6 linked regions of the Kluyveromyces lactis genome follow. The protein of the gene in region 1 purifies or fractionates together with the protein of each later gene. This does not show direct contact. Links are inferred from orthologs where the notes say so. Each region holds a gene or a part of one and is shown in the gene's direction. Other genes may lie near its edges.

The links.
Region 2: the proteins of CKA2 (region 1) and RIO1 purify together in Saccharomyces cerevisiae (affinity purification with mass spectrometry; 3 studies listed by BioGRID, with this or other methods). This does not show direct contact. The link is inferred for Kluyveromyces lactis from reciprocal best matches to the Saccharomyces cerevisiae genes CKA2 and RIO1.
Region 3: the proteins of CKA2 (region 1) and CHD1 purify together in Saccharomyces cerevisiae (affinity purification with mass spectrometry; 7 studies listed by BioGRID). This does not show direct contact. The link is inferred for Kluyveromyces lactis from reciprocal best matches to the Saccharomyces cerevisiae genes CKA2 and CHD1.
Region 4: the proteins of CKA2 (region 1) and PSH1 purify together in Saccharomyces cerevisiae (affinity purification with mass spectrometry; 3 studies listed by BioGRID, with this or other methods). This does not show direct contact. The link is inferred for Kluyveromyces lactis from reciprocal best matches to the Saccharomyces cerevisiae genes CKA2 and PSH1.
Region 5: the proteins of CKA2 (region 1) and SPT16 purify together in Saccharomyces cerevisiae (affinity purification with mass spectrometry; 9 studies listed by BioGRID). This does not show direct contact. The link is inferred for Kluyveromyces lactis from reciprocal best matches to the Saccharomyces cerevisiae genes CKA2 and SPT16.
Region 6: the proteins of CKA2 (region 1) and UTP22 purify together in Saccharomyces cerevisiae (affinity purification with mass spectrometry; 4 studies listed by BioGRID). This does not show direct contact. The link is inferred for Kluyveromyces lactis from reciprocal best matches to the Saccharomyces cerevisiae genes CKA2 and UTP22.

What each region holds. Positions count from the first base shown.
Region 1 is NC_006042.1:1,518,601-1,521,322, forward strand, and holds CKA2 (casein kinase 2 catalytic subunit CKA2), read left to right. Parts: upstream 1-1,199; coding exon 1,200-2,222; downstream 2,223-2,722. Other genes in the region: SLD7 (Sld7p), read right to left, coding at 1-739. UniProt on the Saccharomyces cerevisiae protein: Catalytic subunit of a constitutively active serine/threonine-protein kinase complex that phosphorylates a large number of substrates containing acidic residues C-terminal to the phosphorylated serine or threonine.
Region 2 is NC_006041.1:1,885,045-1,888,532, forward strand, and holds RIO1 (protein kinase RIO1), read left to right. Parts: upstream 1-1,407; coding exon 1,408-2,988; downstream 2,989-3,488. Other genes in the region: KEI1 (Kei1p), read right to left, coding at 294-932, 1,048-1,083; RTC5 (Rtc5p), read right to left, coding at 3,041-3,488. UniProt on the Saccharomyces cerevisiae protein: Required for the final endonucleolytic cleavage at site D converting 20S pre-rRNA into the mature 18S rRNA. Required for the final steps of cytoplasmic maturation of the 40S ribosomal subunit.
Region 3 is NC_006039.1:1,550,690-1,552,967, forward strand, and holds the end of CHD1 (chromatin-remodeling ATPase CHD1), read left to right. Parts: coding exon 1-1,778; downstream 1,779-2,278. UniProt on the Saccharomyces cerevisiae protein: ATP-dependent chromatin-remodeling factor which functions as substrate recognition component of the transcription regulatory histone acetylation (HAT) complexes SAGA and SLIK. It recognizes H3K4me.
Region 4 is NC_006038.1:766,666-769,399, forward strand, and holds PSH1 (ubiquitin-protein ligase PSH1), read left to right. Parts: upstream 1-1,142; coding exon 1,143-2,234; downstream 2,235-2,734. Other genes in the region: PET111 (Pet111p), read left to right, coding at 1-672; COX7 (cytochrome c oxidase subunit VII), read left to right, coding at 2,587-2,734.
Region 5 is NC_006042.1:906,571-910,777, forward strand, and holds the start of SPT16 (chromatin-remodeling protein SPT16), read left to right. Parts: upstream 1-1,407; coding exon 1,408-4,207. Other genes in the region: KLLA0_F09867g (uncharacterized protein), read right to left, coding at 71-1,180. UniProt on the Saccharomyces cerevisiae protein: Component of the FACT complex, a general chromatin factor that acts to reorganize nucleosomes. The FACT complex is involved in multiple processes that require DNA as a template such as mRNA elongation, DNA replication and DNA repair.
Region 6 is NC_006040.1:1,246,613-1,250,790, forward strand, and holds the start of UTP22 (rRNA-processing protein UTP22), read left to right. Parts: upstream 1-1,378; coding exon 1,379-4,178. Other genes in the region: KLLA0_D14762g (uncharacterized protein), read right to left, coding at 133-537. UniProt on the Saccharomyces cerevisiae protein: Involved in nucleolar processing of pre-18S ribosomal RNA and ribosome assembly.

The sequences.
Region 1 (2,722 bases):
GGATCGATTCAAAACTAATGGGTTCAGTTTCTCTGAGTTCGTCTCTGAAAGCGAATTCAGACGCCTTGTACGTCATCTTGTACAATTTTTCGTGTTGAGTTCGATGAACTCCTCGTAGCCTGAGTCCTGAAAGTATGCACTGAGACAGCAACGACATAAATTGCTGCTGTTGATCGTTGAGCAAGACTTGTTTGTTCAACGAGTTACTTTTCAGTATTCGCTGACGTTTGTTCTTCTCTAGAATCGATTCGATCGACATCGTTGCTCCAGCGTTACTTGGCACAACAGATTGTAGTTCGTCGGCTGATAACGGTATCAATTTCTTATCAAGTTCGTGTTTAGTCGATAAGTGAAGTACCATCGATTCAATTTCGAAAGACGCGTTTATATCGGTCTTCAAACGCTTGTAGAATAGGAAATATTCGAATTGCTCTTTCGTCAACACTTGGGATCCCGTTACTTTACATACAATTCCTCGATTCCTGTGTCGTTGTCTCATCAACTTCGCTCTGAAATAATTGACGCTGGTCTCGCTAGTAGTGAAGCATTGGTACCGTTGACCTCTATTGAGCCAAAACGGCAGCTTATCAATGTTGACCATTCCAACAACTTCTGCCAGACAATTTTTCACTGCAATTTGGCCATCACCGTCCTCAAATTCACGCCACAACTGGACGTCTCTTATCACAGTGTTATGACCCACATTAAGCCTCAAGATAAGTTCTTTTTCTAGTGTCATAGGTTCATCGCGCAACTCTCCAGGTCCAATTCCCCTAATACCAGGCCTACCGAGGTCTTCTTTCACGTTTGCTACTTTCACTTAACAATTTGAAACTGACCAGACAATGTATTCACCTCCTTTATAGTCTTAGTTTCCCTGTATATGAAAGTCCGCCGTTGTATTGTGGTTCACGGTGCAAAAGCTTAGCTTATATCCATTGTTACCATACGAATCTTTTTTCTCTCGACGCTTTCACGGCTCCAAACAAAATGCTTTCAGTTTTCAACATTGAAATAAAGTGAAGGCAAAGAAAAAAAATGTTATTGCTCAACGTAATTGAACAATAGACAGCCAGAAGTTGGAAGTGGTTAGAGACTACAGAGGCTAGAGAGTACCGTTTTGGATCACATCAGACTCTAAGTTTTGAAAACGGGAAAAGGGAGGTCATCTCTTTTTTTTTTTTGATTTCCTTCTCATCATGTCGACGTTACAACCTTCTGCGTTGAATAAGAAGAGCAAACGAGTTTATAGCGTTGCTAGGGTGTATCAGGATGCTTGTGAGAAACGCCCTCAAGAGTACTGGGATTATGAACAATGCGTGATGATTGATTGGGGTAAGATTTCGAACTATGAAGTGATAAAAAAGATTGGTCGTGGTAAATACAGTGAAGTTTTCAAAGGGAAATCTGTATTGAACGATATACCATGCGTCATCAAGGTTCTCAAGCCAGTGAAGATGAAGAAAATTTATAGAGAGTTAAAAGTGTTAACTAATTTGACAGGGGGACCTAATATAATTGGATTATTGGATATTGTTCAAGATCCAGGATCCAAAATCCCGGCATTGATCTTTGAAGAGGTGAAAAATGTCGACTTCCGTACGCTTTATCCATCGTTTACATTATCGGATACGCAATTTTATTTCACACAATTGTTAACTGCTTTAGACTATTGTCATTCGATGGGTATCATGCATCGTGATGTGAAGCCTCAAAACGTCATGATTGATCCTAATGAACGTAAGCTAAGGTTGATCGATTGGGGATTAGCAGAGTTTTACCATCCGGGAGTGGATTATAACATCAGGGTGGCGTCTCGTTATCACAAGGGACCTGAACTCTTGGTGAGCTTAAACCAATACGATTACTCTTTAGATTTGTGGGCTGTCGGATGTATGATAGCAGCTATTGTTTTCAAGAAGGAGCCATTTTTCAAAGGAAGCACGAATGCAGATCAATTGGTGAAAATTGCCAAGGTACTTGGTACGCAGGAGTTATTCTATTACTTGAAACATTACGGATTGGATCTTCCTGCAGAATACAACGATATCATGAAGAACTACGAACGGAAACCATGGAGCTATTTCGCCAATGATAAGACGCCGTTGGCTGTGGACGAAATAATTGATTTGATCGACCATTTACTACGTTATGATCACCAAGAGAGATTAACTGCAAAAGAAGCCATGGAGCATAAATTCTTCAAAAAAGATTTCTCATAGTGTATGCCTAAACGGTAATATATATCTGTTTTCTCATCTCTCTATCATCAAATTTTCTTTTCCCTCTTATCTTCCATTTATGGTTAACTTTGGGGGATTCTTCTTCTGTCTTTGATTGCTTTCCAATTAAAAGCATGTATACTAATAACATATAATTAATACAACACCTGAAAAAGAGGACAGAAACACATGTCTCTTTTGCTTAAGATTTAAAGAAGATGTAATATTATGATAGTCGTTAATTCATTAAAAAGGATATATAATTAATAGGTGTAATAGCTACCAAACCTGAAAGAAAAGGCTCTTACTAGCGCAGGCGCAGAGAGAGAGACACTACTATAAGTAGGAAAGGAAATAGACCAAAGGAATATGAAACAGGGTGGAAATAGTTACAAAAACCCATGATCGAAACTATTATTGCGGTGAAAGTTCAGTGATGAGAATTGAAAATGCCATTATTATTAGTCTATATTTCTCAATCACAGGGAAAAAAACAATCT
Region 2 (3,488 bases), on another chromosome or scaffold:
CAATGAGCGATGCAAGCTTCATTGTATAAAGAGGTACCCTGTCAAGAGTGATCACGCATTGTGTGTCATATCCAGTGCCAATTGATGGTCTTGTGTTCGCTTTTTTTTATGAGTCACTCTTACTGATCTCTCAATAGGATGGTGCATCTTATCAAAAAATTGCTCTCTGATTAGGAATTAATTCCGTGTTCGAACCCCACTTGGACCACTTTTTGAAAAGACAATGATGCAATGTTAGCTATATGATAATATTAGTCCGTATCTATATAATGATGTGTTTAAAGGGTACCGGGCTATAAGTATCTCTTGCATAGGTAGAAACACCATTTTTCGAATTTGTATCTCCATTTAAACAAAATGTTTCTGTTGTGTAGATTGACTTCTATATCGTTCTGATCGAATGTGAACTTCCCACTGCGCAATAGTTGTTGTTGGAATGCAATTATGATGAAATTGAAATAGAATCTGACTGCTAGTGGAACTAAAGTTAGCAATATGATGAGGAAAAATTCATAGCCGCTAGAAGCACTCTTAGAAGTATCTACTTTAGTTGAGATCGTGGATGTGGTTCCCTCATGAGCTGGTCCAAGTGCGGTTCCCGCGCTCTTCAAGTCCGTAACGTCAGTGGAGCCCTCCTGGCTGAACCACACAGCAGTGAACCATAAGCAGTAAATGCAACTAACAATTGTGTCCACACTGAACACAAAAGTAACCGTGGACATTAAGAGGATATTGGGCTTATAAACTTGTCTTATTCCTGAAATGAATACCACTAGACAGAAAATTGACCAGATGTAAAAAGTCCATTGCACAAAGTCTAACGGGTGTCCAGTGAAAAGTGCAAGAACACCATACATCCCGCTGAATTTGTTGAAGGTTAGCACACCAAGTGCAACCTCAACACCTATGTACAAGGGATAAGACAGGAATGTCTAAAGGGCAATGTCATCTGTTAGTACATATTACTGGTATCAAAAAAAAACCATGCATCAAACGATCATGTAAAAACGTCTTTCAACTGCGGTTAAATACCCAAAAGAAACATACTTGTGGCAAATGAACCATATTTGATTGCTGCTGCATAGGAGTATAATAAGGACAAACCCTGACGTTAAAGCAAGTTGGTTTCTTCCACTTACACAGGTAGACCTTTCAATTCATCTACTGAGCGTTTTAGAATGTTTACAACTATTTCCTCTATTGAAAAGCAATTCGCGATCCTGTCTAGAGCATCGTGAAAAAAAAACGTAGGAAAAAAAAAAGTACGCTACTTTACTTTAATGGTGTACAAGATGAGCGATGAGGTTGGAATAGTGGTTATTTACAGAACAATATACGCCGTTCAGCTCCTGTGTATTGTCAAATTAGTAAATCAGAAAGCAGAAGTTATCTATAGTTGGACTACGAATGATGAATATTGACGATAAGCTGGAAAAACTGAATTTAGCCAACCGTGATGAGCATGTCAACACTCAGATCCTAGAGAGGTATGCCAATAGCATCAAAACAGATGAGTTATCATTAACTAGGGGTAAAACCAGCAAAGATAAGGCGAATAGGGCCACTGTAGAGAATGTTTTAGACCCACGTACGATGAGGTTTTTGAAATCCATGATGAACAGGGGAATATTATCAGCATTTAATGGTTGTTTGAGTACAGGTAAAGAAGCAAACGTGTACCATGCGTTTGCTGGTAATCATGAGGAGAGACATCTGCTGGTAGAGGGACATGATGATACAATAGGAGCCCCACAAAATATTGAATCAACAAAACAAAAAGCTCTAACTGCCGAATCTGAGGATGCCACATCCACTTCAACTGCCACTGATGAACCAAAAAATAAGAAGGAATACGCGGTGAAGATTTACAAGACATCTATCTTGGTTTTTAAGGATCGTGAAAGATACGTTGATGGTGAATTTAGATTCAGAAATTCGAGATCTCAACATAATCCTCGTAAGATGATCAAAATTTGGGCTGAAAAGGAATTTAGAAACTTGAAGAGAATATACCAAAGCGGTGTCATACCTTGTCCAAAACCAATAGAAGTTAGATCAAACGTTTTAGTCATGGAATTTTTAAATAGAGGAGATGGTTTCGCATCTCCGAGGCTTAAAGATCATCCTTACAAAGATAGAGAAGAAATTAAACATTACTACAATTTAATGATAGCGTACATGAGACTGTTATATCAGGTATGTCGCTTAGTTCATGCAGACTTGAGTGAGTATAATAGTATTGTACATGAGGATAAGCTTTATATTATTGATGTTTCGCAATCCGTACAACCAGAACATCCTATGTCTCTAGATTTCCTAAGAATGGATATTAAGAATGTTAACTCATATTTCCAAAAATTGGGAATTGACATTTTCCCTGAACGGGTGATCTTCCAGTTCATCATCAGTGAGGTCTTAGACAAATTCAAGGGTGATTACAGATCAAGCGATGATCTAGAAACATATGTTGCCGACAATTTACCTCTAAAGTTGACTGATGAAGACGAAGCTGAAGATGAAGTGTTCAGATCTTTACATTTGATAAGAAATTTGGGTGGTTTAGAGGAAAGAGATTTTGATAGATTCACTGATGGTAAATTTGACCTACTGAAATCATTAATTGCTAATGAAAACAGGAAATATTCCGAAAATTTCACAGCATCGGAGCAATATGAACTCTCTTCTTCTGATGACGAGGAAGATGACGTAGATGGTGATGATCTCCCTAACCTCGTAACGGATATCAATGAAGATGACATAGCTGGATCAGATGAAGATGATGATAGTGATGAAACTAACGATAGTTCTGATGGTGATGGATGGGTCTCCGATAAAGACACTCCACTGAAAGGAAAAAAGTACGAAGATAAAGATGCTAAAAAACAACGTAAGCAAGAAACAAAAGAGGCCAAACGTGAAAAGAGGAAGACCAAAGTAAAAAAACACGTTAAGAAAAAGCTCATTAACAAGACGAAAAGCAAGAAATGATCAATTTAAAAATTCTATGCAATTTCAAATATTTAATATTTACTTAGCGATTTTAAATAGATCCACCGCTTTGATGTTGCCCTACAAGACCTGCCATTTCCAATAATGCACGATCTTCTCCCATGCTTTGTAAGTTGATCTTTTGCCTTCTTTTGGCTTCGGCCTCTTCCCATTGCCATTGCTTTACTTGCTCTTCGAGCTCTTTTTCTCCTCCGCATCCCCACACTTCTACATCTTGGATTATGAATCGGTATTCGAACGAATTCCGTTCTTCTCCACGTCCACTTATTAGACGGCCAGGCTTAAAACTCCCACCTGCTCCCAAATGTCTAAATATACCGAACTCGAGAGATGAATCAATAGTAAGTGAAACATTTCCTGGGAAGTATTTTTTACCGTTAGCTTTGATGATAGGTTGAGAGCTACCAATACCTATACCTCCCCCAACAGTGTTGAAATATACGTTTCCTGTCTTGAATGGGTCCGCATCGAAGATCTCT
Region 3 (2,278 bases), on another chromosome or scaffold:
AGTTTGAAGTTACGGATTATAAAGCTGATGTTGATTGGGATGACATTATCCCCGAAGATGAACTCAAGAAACTAAAGGATGAAGAACAAAGGCGTATCGACGAAGAATATGTCAGAGAACAGTTAGATATAATGAACCGTAAAACTGCTGCCATTGATAAGATTAAGAGATCTGTCAACGGAGAAACGTTTGGGAGTGACTCAGAAGACGAAGGTAACTCCAAATCTAGAAAGAGATCTAAAGCTAACAACTTGGACGCTTTTGGTGAAAGAGAAATCAGAGCATTATACAAGTGTATTCTTCGATTTGGTGATATTGAAAACAAGTTTGAAGAGCTGATTGCCGATGGATCATTACCCGTAAAATCTATTGATAGATATAAAGAGCTTTACCACGAAATGATTACAGAGGCAGAAACTTTGATGAGAGACGAAGAGGCTAAGAGGCATGAAATATTTAGTAAGTTAGAAAAGGATGCAGCCGAATACAGACAGAAAATTAAAAACTTGGAAATTAAGCCTGAAGATGATGCTGGTAAAGAAACTCCTATCACTCTTTTATCTGCTAAAAGAAGAGAGAAAAGAGCCATCCTATTCGAATTCCACGATACTAAAGCACTAAACGCAGACACCCTTGTTAATAGACGCGACAATCTAAAATTCTTATCCAATTTTGTGGAAAGAAACTACAAAGACGACCCGTTACAATTCAAGTTCGTGAATAAGAATCCAAAACCTGTGTCTGCGTGGAATTGCGTATGGGGTAAAGAAGACGATGAGAAGCTGTTAATCGGTATCTATAAGTATGGTTACGGTGCATGGATGCAAATCAGAGATGATCCGTTTTTGGGACTAACTGAAAAACTTTTCTTGAACAATGAAGTTACTCAGAAAGCTGCCACTCCTGCAGCACCTAGTCTCACACCATCTGCTCCAGGGGCATCTGTTGCGGGGTCTTCAACACCTGGTGCTGATGCTGTAAAGACAGAAACTCCTGACACTACGGCAAACACACCAATCGTGACGGCGTCTTCTGAAAACACTAATAAGAAAACAGTGAAGAAAGCTCCCGGTGCTGTGCATCTCGGTAGAAGAGTCGATTACTTATTCACTGTCCTAAGAGACGAAGCTAAGGGTCCCCAAACTGATCCATCTCACCCTGCCGGCTCTTCGTCAACCGGAACCACGACGCCTCAGCAAAACAAACGTAAACCAAAGAAGTCTGCTACTACTGCTGGGAACAGCAATGGGAACGAAAATGCCCATACCGCTGGTACCCCAAGTGACGGCAATAGTGTTAACTTAACCGGCAAGGACTCTACACCAGACAATAGCTCCGAAACAAAGCGTGGCAAGGCCCATCACCATCAACAACCATCATCAAGATCTGGTACGCCTGTCGTCGGATCGAAAAAACAGCAGAGGAAAGGTAAAGACATACCGTTGGCACCAAAAGCCGATATCCGTCTTCCTGACAAAGAATACGACAGTATGGACGAAGAAGAGTGTAAGAAAACGATGACAAACGTCCGTAGCTCACTCAAACGTCTAAGATCTGGAGGAGACGGTCTTGAACGTAAGCAATGGGCTAACCTATTGAAGAAGGAATTGAAACGTGTTGGTGACTACATCGAATCGCACAAGAAGGACTCGTCTAAGACCTCTCCAGAAAAATATAAAAGACATTTATGGTCTTTCACTGCATATTACTGGCCAAGAGATGTCCCATCTTCCAAACTCCTGGCGATGTACGACAAAATCAAAGCCTCTGAACATTAATTAGTCAAATGTAACAAAACATAGAGATATATACGCCTATCAATTTACGAAAAAAAAAAAGATATCTAATCAACAACATATTGCTATTAGTTATTATTACCTTCATAAATGACATGAGGCACAAGGGCGCACCAGAAACAGCCGGCTGCTAGTAAAATACCTGGTTTGTTGTGGTGATGCCTCAGATCATTTCGCACGTACCTACCTTTCCTTTTGTGGAAAAGCTTTAAACTCTTTTTCAACTCTTTAAATTTTTCAATGAAAATTTTCACTTTTTGGCTAACTCATCACAACAATTAAGGACTGTTCTCACAGAGATGGATGAATTATATAACGATTTTAAATAAGTTCTTGTGATGTTGTTTCATTTATTTAATTTGTTATAAGTTTTTAGTTATCTTGGTTAGTTTATACTGTTTCGTTTGTTACTTATTTGTATTACCTTTCTGGTTCAGTTATTGTAACATTTTATTTTGTGCAATTTGTTTGTTTAAAAAGAC
Region 4 (2,734 bases), on another chromosome or scaffold:
ACGCTCAAGAGCTCGTATAGGACCATTCCTTTGAAGGTCAAAATTCTAAACTTACGTGCAAACTTGTACAAATTAGCATATCAACTACGGAAAGCACAACAACCTAATGAAATCATGAGATCTCAGAGTTTAAAAATGATCGAACGATTTGTGAAGGAGCATCAACGCGAATTGAATTTCCAGAACTATATCCAATTGGCCATGTTAGCGTCTCGATACAAAGGCAGATACCTATGTGACAAATTATTTGCAAAGAGCATTGTGACCAGGGACCCAACGGACAGTAGGGCTACTTATATCATATACAGGTCATTGCTTGCATTTTTCGTGAGGTTAAAGGAGCCAAAGAAATTTTTATCAACTTTAAAGAAGTTGAATAACGAATCCCATGTTATCGTCACTAAATATTTGTTGAGTACTGTGAAATACAACATCGCTTACTTTGATAAATTTAATTGTGAGGATACCAACGCAATGATAGTGGAGTATGAGAAACTACGAAAAAGATATGCCTTTACCAAGCTTGAAGGGCTAGATGCCATCAAAGAGTTAATGACGTATCTAAGAAAATGGTTAGATCATGAAGTATACAAGCATCAGACTTCAACTTATCAAAAACAGTTGGAACTGGAAAAGCAGTATAGAAAGGCACCCAAAGAGGTTGTGAAATAGGACACTGGCACAACACAAGCTCAAATAAAGAGCTGTTAAATATATTTCTCTGCGTCCTCGTCTTACCATTGTCATCTCTCCACTTGTAAATAGAATATCGGAGAGAATGAAAACTAGGCCTGACGTATATACCTTAGCATCAACATCATCAACAACAAAATTTAATTCAGCATTTCAATATATGTAAAGATATATGTATATTTATTCGAGAATAATATCCCAATTATAAGAACTCTTACTTAGCCGTACGCTATATCTTCGTCTCTTGTGCATTACATTGTTGCCATTATTTCGTTCAGTTTCTTAAAAAGAAAAGCCCTTAAGACCAAAAACAGGAAAAAACCTTTAAAAAGCTGCGATTGCGAAACAATACATCGCGAGATGATTAGGGATACATTATTCAATTGGATGGCAGGCGAACCCGCTTTATATTAAGAAACGATAACTTCGATCTTCACCTCATTATCAAGATGAACGGACATTTACATACGGTTATACCGAAAAAATCCAATGCGGATCATTTACGAATCGTGGGCAGAGTGCTTGATTCCACAGTATGCACGATATGCCACGATTATATGTTTGTACCAGTCATGACGAGCTGTGGACACAACTATTGTTACGAATGTTTGAATAACTGGTTGAACAACAATCGATCCAACGTATCAGAATTAACGTGTCCGCAATGTCGAAATGTGATTACCAATGAACCATCGTTGAACGTTGCCTTACAACAAATAGTCGATCTGATGCTAGATATAGCAGCGGAGGACCCACAGAAATCGAATTCCTCCGAAGTACGATCACTGCTCACACAAAGAGAATGCTCCGTTGCTGAATACAAGTCTGACCTGTTGGAAGAAACGCTATTCAACAGTGTGTTTAAGAATACTGCCAAAGCCATCATAGACGATGATGACGATGGGATAGCAAGGTGTAGCAATTGCCAATGGGAAGTTGAGGGTCCCGTGTGTCCTAACTGCAATGCTACGATACGGAATTATAATGCGGGTGCACAGAACTTCGACGAAGTTGATGTGGATGAGTACTCTGACGGAGAACTGGAAGAGGTTGAGAGAGATTTGGACAATTATAGAGCCGAGAGTGCACGTACTGTGCACGATTTGGAAGCCGAAGAGGGAGATGAGAGTCTCAGTTCAGAGATGGACCAGGCATGGCCCACAAGACGGCCTAGGAACTTTATGCATGGAGAAGAAGAAGAGGAGGAAGAGGAAGATAGAGGATCGATAGATTCGTTCATAGTGGATGAGGAAGAAGAAGAAGAAGAAGAGGAAGAGGAACAAGAATTGAAAGATGAACGGAAGTTCCGTAGAGCATCTGTTGCCCTCTCAGATGACGATGACAACGAATCTCGCGACAGTGATTTCTACGAACATAATGACGATGGATACGCGAGTGGTGACTCCCTTGACGAAAGTACTAGTAACGACGAACTAGAACCGCACACCATCCGTCTCACTCATAGTCAAGACAACAACAACAACAACAACAACAACTCCGCGCGTAAGAAACGTCTCATAGTCCTAGACTCTGATGAGTAACAATAACAGCGTATATACACCTTGTACAACCTTCTAACGATACTAAAAGTCACGTGTAAACCACCATCACGTGCAACAACCCCGCAGTTACCCTGAATGTCCCCGTATCTTTTCCCAGCCTATGGAGTTTTCGCTGTTTAGAGGGAAGTTGAATTTTCACACCACTCGAAAGCCAGTAGGGGAATATCAGATACTGAGATTAAAAAAAATTTTGGAAGAAATAAACTGTTATGATAGTTAGTTTACACTTGGTGAATACAGTTTTCGATTTGATTCATAGTATTTGTATATTTTGTTTGTTGTTCATCGATTGCCAATACATTTGTTTAATCATAGCCCCAAACATTGAACGATGCCTTCTCCAAGCAAAATTATTGAACTACAAAAGCTGTTCCAACACTCTTCTAAGCCATTGTGGTCTAGACATCCAAGATCGGCTTTCTACTTGTACCCATTCTGGGGTTTGTTTACTGTGGCCCTTGTTGCTCCATTGCTATACA
Region 5 (4,207 bases), about 610 kb from region 1:
CTATAATTTATTTATTCGTGATGAGATGCAATGCATATAACAAATTCCGTCGAAATTTCTTACTTCATATCTATTCTTTAGAAAGGTATTCTTTAGAAGTGTCTCGTAGTTTTGTCTTCTTGTCTTTCATGTAATTTATTACATTGTTAAATGTTATGGTCGTAATGCTTTTAATAAGTTCCTCGTATTCCTCGTTGATCTTGGTAACTGCTTCCGACTTTTCCTGCAATTCTATCTGGAATTGTTCATAAGTGAAAGGTTGCAACGATCGTTGGTATAAATTCGGATGGCGTTCACAAAGGTCGGCAAATAGATGAAGAGACTGCAAAAGAAGACTTGCTAATGTGAGGTGTAGAGAGTAATCCCCAAGACTTCTCTTATTAGATACCGACAGGTTGTACATTTCCGGATAAATAGTTATCACTTCGTTAATAATATCGATAGCATACGCTGAAAGGATATTGAGTCTTATGGCTAATCCATCCAAAGTTTCATCCCTAAGTGCTTCCTTTATCTTCTCTACTCCCTCAGTTAAATCACCTGCAAGAATTTGGTATGCAGAGAGTACAATAGGAAGTATTTGCACTTCTAACTCTTTAGCCCATCTGTTTATATTTCTTCTTGTAGCCAAAAGATCATCGGATGCCTTGGAAAACAATTCGTCATCATGCTCAAGACGTCTTCTTTCTGAGTCTATTCGCATGAAGGCGAATATAAATTCGCTGCTGATTTGCTCCGCAAAAGTAATTTCTCGCGACATAAAATGTGCAAATCCTAAATAAAACTTTCCAAGATCTATTACATCGTTCTTCCCATCATACATCACCAAAAAAGGATACTTCTTCCTCAATAATTCTGTTAGTTTCTCGCTATCCAGATGGTTAGCAGAACTTAAGTTGTTCCCACTCATTATTTTGGTACAAATAAACCAGTGAACCACCCCGATGTGATTATAGGCTTTGATGTTGATATACACCCAATAATGAAAAGTAAACGTGCACTTTCCACTGTTAACTTCTATTATAGTCATCCTCGGTTCAAAATACATTGGAAGCATCTTAGTATGGAATTGATCTCCAGTCACGTGAAGAGAATCAAATCCGTTTACAGTGATATATTCTCCCTTTAACCTGAATTTTTCAAAATTTAGTAAAAAAAAAACGCGACGCCAATAATGCATATATTATAGTTTTAAATTGAAGAGTAACATTAATAATTTTTGCAAACTATACCCATTGTTTAAGAGCTGGCAGGAAATTAAAGCAAAGGGACTCTTTGGTACTTTTATTGAAATAACCTGCAAAGCATTTCGTGGCTCGGTATTTCAAACTCATTGTTCTATTAGGCGTGGCAGTTGTCTTTTTTGGTTAGATATTGAGGACCCCATTGTGCTAATCTCAAGTAACAATGAGTGACGGAGGAATTGAAATTGATTTCCAAGCCTTTTATGATAGGTTTACAAAATTAGGGAAGGCATATTCTGGATTTGAAGGTTCTCCAAATAGTCTTCTCTTTGTACTTGGTTCGACTAATGAGGAAAACCCTTATCAAAAGACCACCATTTTGCATAATTGGTTGCTAGGGTATGAGTTTCCAGCTACATTGATTGCCTTTTTCAAGGATAAAGGTGTCATCATAACCAGCAGTGCTAAGGCGAAACATCTTTTGCCCGCTGTTACTAAGTTTGAAGGATCAGATTACAAACTTGAGATCTGGCAAAGAAATAACAAGGATGCAAATCACAATAAGAAATTGTTTGAGGACCTCATCAAGCTGTTATCAGAAAACGGTAATACTGTCGGTGTCCCAACGAAGGATTCATATCAAGGTAAGCTCATTCTTGAATGGAAACCGCTTTGGGAAGAAGCTAAAAAGACGCATTCTTTAAACGTAATCGATTGCTCTGCTGGTTTGTCTTCTACTTGGAAGGGCAAAGATGATAAGGAAAAGGCTTACCTTTCTGTATCCAGTAAGGGATCTGACAAATTCATGGATCTTATGTCAAATGAAATCGTCAATGCTGTTGACGAAGAACTAAAAATATCAAATTCTAAGTTGTCAGATAAAATTGAAAACAAGATAGATGATTCCAAGTTTTTGAAGAAACTTTCAAGTGATCTAAATCCTTTGTGTCCTACCGACGAGAAATTCGACGTTAATTTCCTTGATTGGGCCTATTCTCCAATTGTGCAATCAGGTTCTAAGTTCGACCTTAAGGTTTCTGCTCGTTCTAACAACGACTCACTTTTCGGAAAGGGTTCCATCCTAGCCTCATGCGGTATCAGATACAAGAATTACTGTTCCAATATCACCAGAACTTTTTTGATTGACCCGACAGATGAAATGACTGACAATTATGACTTTTTATTGATTTTGCAAGAGAAGATCATCGATGATTTATTAAAAGTAGAAGCTGATCCAACATCTATTTATGAAAAGACACTGGAATTCATCAAAGAAAAGAAACCGGAATTATTATCTCACTTTACTAAAAATGTTGGTTCTTTGATGGGGTTGGAATTTAGAGACTCTGCTGGTATGATCAATGCTAAACCAACCGCTCATAAAATTTCAGAGAATTGCTGTTACAATATTTCACTCGGATTTGGGAATTTAAAGGATAGTAAAACTGGTCAGGTATATGCTGTTCAATTAGCAGATACCGTTCAACTTTCTTCTGATGGAAAGCCATCCACTTTGACCAAGTACACAAAGGCTAGATCCCAAATCTCGTTTTACTTCAACAACGAAGAAGAGAACAAAGCTGCAACTGTTAAATCTGAAAAAAGCAAGCCTCCTGCTTTACCAAAACCTGATGGTACATCGAAGATTTTGAGATCTAAGCTACGTGGAGAAAGTCGTGCTGACGATGAAGAGAAAGAACAAATCCGCAAAGAGAACCAAAGAAAACTTCATGAAAGATTACAGAAGGAAGGTTTACTCAGATACAGTGATGCAGATGCAGTAGATGGCGATGAGAAGCCAAAGCATTTCTTCAAAAAGTACGAATCTTACGTTAGGGAAACTCAAATACCATCCAATGTACGTGATTTGAAGATTCATGTCGACTGGAAGAGTCAGACAATCATTCTACCAATCTATGGTAGACCTGTACCTTTTCATATCAATTCATACAAAAACGGTTCTAAAAATGAAGAAGGTGAATACACTTATCTCAGATTGAATTTCCATTCTCCTGGTGCTGGAGGTGTCGGTAAGAAAACTGAGGAGTTGCCGTATGAAGAGAACCCAGAGAATCAATTTGTTCGTTCTCTAACTTTAAGATCTAAGGATGGTGCTCGCATGAGCGATGTTTTCAAACAAATTACTGATCTTAAGAAGGAATCTACCAAACGTGAACAGGAAAGAAAAGCTTTGGCTGATGTTGTTGTCCAGGCTAAATTGGTGGAGAACAAAACTGGTAGGACTAAACGTTTGGACCAAATCTTTGTCAGGCCTAGTCCCGATACCAAGCGTGTGCCAGGTACGGTGTTCATTCATGAAAATGGTATCAGATACCAGTCTCCATTGAGGACAGATTCAAGAATTGATATCCTATTCTCAAACATCAAGAATCTATTCTTCCAATCATCAAAGGGAGAACTTATTGTGATCATTCATGTTCATCTAAAGAATCCTATTTTAATGGGTAAAAAGAAGATCCAAGATATTCAATTTTACAGAGAAGCATCTGATATGGCTGTCGATGAGACAGGAAACAGCAGACGCAACAACATGAAATTTAGAAGATATGGTGATGAAGATGAATTAGAACAAGAACAAGAAGAAAGAAGAAAACGTGCTGCCCTTGATAAAGAATTTAGATATTTTGCTGAAGCTATAGCAGAGGCATCCGATGGTCTCCTAGATGTAGATTCTCCATTTAGAGATCTTGGTTTCCAAGGTGTTCCTTCTAGATCAGCCGTGTTCTGTATGCCAACGAGAGACTGCTTAATTCAATTAGTTGAACCGCCATTTTTAGTCATAAATTTGAACGAAGTTGAGATTTGTATACTTGAAAGAGTTCAATTTGGATTGAAGAACTTTGACATGGTCTTTGTTTATAAAGATTTGACAAAGCCTGTTTCTCATATAAACACTGTACCAATTGAGCAACTTGAATTCATTAAGACATGGTTAACAGATGTTGATATTCCATATACTGTTTCTACAATTAACTTGAACTGGTCGACAATCATGAAGTCGC
Region 6 (4,178 bases), on another chromosome or scaffold:
TTGATAATTCGTCGTTGTCAATTATATTTATGGACCAGTCATTGCTTTTGTTCGGGATAAAACTCTCTAGTCCCGCTAGTCTCAATTGTCCAATTAAACAGTAAACCCATCTGTTAAATTGGTCCTTTGACTTCACTTGTTGTAGATGAACAGACGTCTTGTCTTGGAACCTGGAAAAGTCATCAAAGCTTTATATTCGCTGTCACACGAGTTGTTATTCTTCTTGGAATAACTAAACAACAGACTGCTTCGATATCTGTATTCCCTATCAAACACTTCGTAAGTACTTCCTCCAAATATCTCTCTCTCGGGATCTAAGTCTGAGTATGGGTTAACATTTTTATCCTCTTTTAAACTCTGTTTAGGAGCACTACCATCACTAACGATATCGAGTCTTTGTATATCTTCACAGATACCTCTTGTCGGATCATTACTTCCTTGCGGAGACTCAGTGACGCTGCCATGTAGGTGATCCTGGTTGTCGCAGTCACAGTCACGTGTAATTAATTCAAAACCTTCGGTATCAGATGAATCCATAGTGTTTACTAGCTATATATAGCTAGTGTGTTGATGCACCTGGCGATCTGTCATGACTGTGTTGATGGTCTTTCCCCAGATCTATGGCCTCTTTATATAATAACTCAGATTGGTTAATGATGTTTCATGTTGATACTTGACCGTCTATTGTTTCTAATCCGTCTCAACAGATAACCCGCCGAATGATCTAAAAAATCTGTAAAATTTGTAATAGATTTCGTGCCTCCTTAGCTTAGTGGTAGAGCGTTGCACTTGTAATGCAAAGGTCGCTAGTTCAATTCTGGCAGGTGGCATTCATCTTTTTCAATATCCAATCTGACCTTCCTCGAATCTATTTTTTTTTTCTTAAAGTAACATTGTGCACTAAAACTAGCAATACGGTACGTCTAAAACCATGTATTCCCTATATTACTACATATCGGGATAGTACCAGTTCCAGCACTTGAGTTGGACTTGGCTTTAGTCCAGTATGACTCTATGTATCTGACTATCTAACTGATTATTCAGAGAGACTGAGATTGGACACGTCGTATAAAGTGACAGACGCATCAAAATCCTTCACATCGAATTTTGGAAAAATTTGCCAGGCGATGAGCTTTAAAGGTTTAAAGAATTCGCATTTACATAGAATGAACGTACCCATAGGCAGGTTTATCACAGTGATTTTGTTTGGATTTCCCTCGTATTAGTTTGCTAGATATTAAAAGGGTAATTCTCTTCTGTTTTGGCTAGGGGAAATTGAAACCCTAGGACTCGGGCACTGGCTATCATTCTGTATTATAATCAATCCAGAGGCGCAAACGGTCAGGAACTAGTGAATTAAGTGGATATTTAGTGAACTATGGCCTCTGTGAAACGTGTAGCACCAGATGGTGAGAAGTCCAGGAATGGTAGTTTCACCAAGAAGGCGCTTGTAAAAGCTATTACTGGCTCACAGGCTGAAAATGACAGTGACAAGACTGGTTCTTCTTCTTCTGGAGAAGAAGAAGAAGAAAGAGAGGAAGAGGCTACTGCCTCTTCCAGCGGGGAAGAAGACGAGGAAGAGGAAAACACACATGACCATAAGGCTAAGAAGCCAAAGTTGAGCTCCCAGGATATACAAATAGCGAGAGAAACGGCTGAACTCTTCAAATCGAACATTTTCAAATTACAAATCGATGAGTTATTGGAACAAGTGAAGTTGAAGGACTCACACATCGTAAGGGTGGAGAAGTTTTTGCATAAACTATATGATATGATACAGGAAGTACCGGAATGGACTCCGCAAAGCTTAGAAGATGTAGAGAAATATTTCCATGGGAAAGTGGTATCAGTTCCGTTTGTGGATCCAAAACCACAAGCGAAGAACACACAGTACAAATTCAATTATTTAAAGCCGGACGTGAGTTTAATTGGATCATTCGGGTTGAAGACTGCCATCTACCAACCTCAGGGCTCCGCAGTAGACGTTTTGTTGACTATGCCTGAGCAGTTGTTCGAAAAGAAAGATTTCTTGAATTTTAGATGTTTCCACAAGCGTTCAGTATACCTCGCGTATTTGACTCATCATATCTCACTCGTCCTGAAAAGAAGCCAGCTGGATTTCTTACACTTGGAATATTCATACTTTAACAACGATCCTTTACAAACGGTATTAAAGATAAGTTGTAAGGAGAAAACTTCATCGGACTATAATTTCTACAAGACTAAATTCAGCATAAACTTGATCGTGGGGTTCCCATACAATTTCTTCGAATCAAAGAAGTTGCTACCCAATAAGAACTGTATCAGAGTCGGTCAGGATAACGAAACTCCGACACCTTTCTACAATTTCTCGGTATTATCATCTTCTTGTCACGAACACTATTTGAAGTACTTACACAAATCAAAGAAACAAACAGAACAGTTTAAACAGGCTTGTATTTTGGGGAAGCTATGGTTATCTCAGAGAGGCTTCTCATCAAATATGTCTCATTCAGATGCGTTGGGTGGTTTTGGAAATTTCGAGTTTGCCACGTTGATGGCAGCCCTACTAAATGGTGGTGGGTTGAATGGTAACAGAATTTTATTGCATGGGTTCTCATCTTACCAATTATTCAAAGGTGTAATCAAATATTTGGCCACAATGGATCTTTGTACTGATGGGTACTTACAATTCTATTCCGACTATAGCACTACTGCAACTGTCACTTCCTCAAAATACGTTGAAGAAGGTTTCCAAACACCTACAATCTTTGATAAAACCACCAAAGTTAACATACTGAGTAAAATGTCTGTTAACAGCTATCAAATGCTAAAGATCTACGCGCAAGAAAGTTTATTGATGTTGAATGACGTCGTCAGAGATCAGTTCGAAAACATGTTCTTAACTAACTTAAACAAGATCAAGACAGTGAAATATGATGCTTACTATGATTTAGATATCCCATCCATCAATTTACTACTGTCCAAGTTCGGTCCCGTTGAAAAGATTAGCTTTATATCATTCGAAAATTTCATCTGCAATAAAGTATCGAACATCGTGAAGATTGCCCTTGAGGATAGAATCAAAGCTTTTGAAGTGGCTCTAGTTAACAATAGATCTACTTTCCCAGTAACAAAGAGAAAAGTTGCTGCTGTTCCAAATTTCACTTCAATCCAAATTAAACTGTTGATCAACCCTGCAGAATGTGAGAAGCTTGTGACTAAGGGCCCAGAGAACACAGAAGAATTAACTAATGAAGCTAATGAATTCAAGATTTTTTGGGGTAAAAAAGCATCTCTTCGTAGATTCAAGGACGGTTCCATTGCAAACTGCTGTGTCTGGTCAACTTCTGCTATTGAAAGTGTTGTTTCTTCGATTTTGTCCTATGTTCTAAGGCTACATTTGACTGAAGACTGCAAACTCATCAATAATTCCACTAGCCAATTCCAACAGTTGTTACCACTACCGAACCTACCTGCATCTTCAAAGACATCAGTTCTAAACCTATCAAGCTACTATAACTTGAAGAAGTCCTTTGACGATTTGTATAAAATCATGTTCGAGCTAAAACTCCCATTATCAATTAAATCTCTTTTACCTATTGGTTCTGCATTCAGGTACACATCATTATGTCAGCCTGTCCCATACGCATATTCTAATCCTGATTTCTTACAAGACGTTGTTATCGAATTCGAAACGTCTACAAAATGGCCTGACGAAATTACTTCGTTGGAAAAGGCTAAAGCTGCATTTTTATTGAAGATTCAAGAATCCATCACGCAGACTCATAGTGAGTACAAGTGCTACTTTACACGTGATGAATCGATTCCATACAACTTGGAAATAGTTACTCTAAACATTTTGACTCCAGAAGGATACGGTTTCAAGTTTAGAGTTCTAACTGAGAGAGACGAAGTTATGTATTTGAGAGCAATTAACAACGCAAGAAAAGAACTAAGACCAGAGCTGGAAAAGACATTCTTGAAATTTACTGCCAAGTACCAAGCTGCTATTAGACATACTAGAACTTTGGAAAACATTTCCCATAGTTACCCATTCTACTCTCCAGTGGTAAGACTATTTAAGAAATGGCTAGATTCTCATCTCTTATATGGCCATTTGTCAGAAGAATTGATTGAGCTTATTGCCATTAAGCCATTTGTAGAGCCACGTCCATTCACCATGCCAGGTTCCGTTG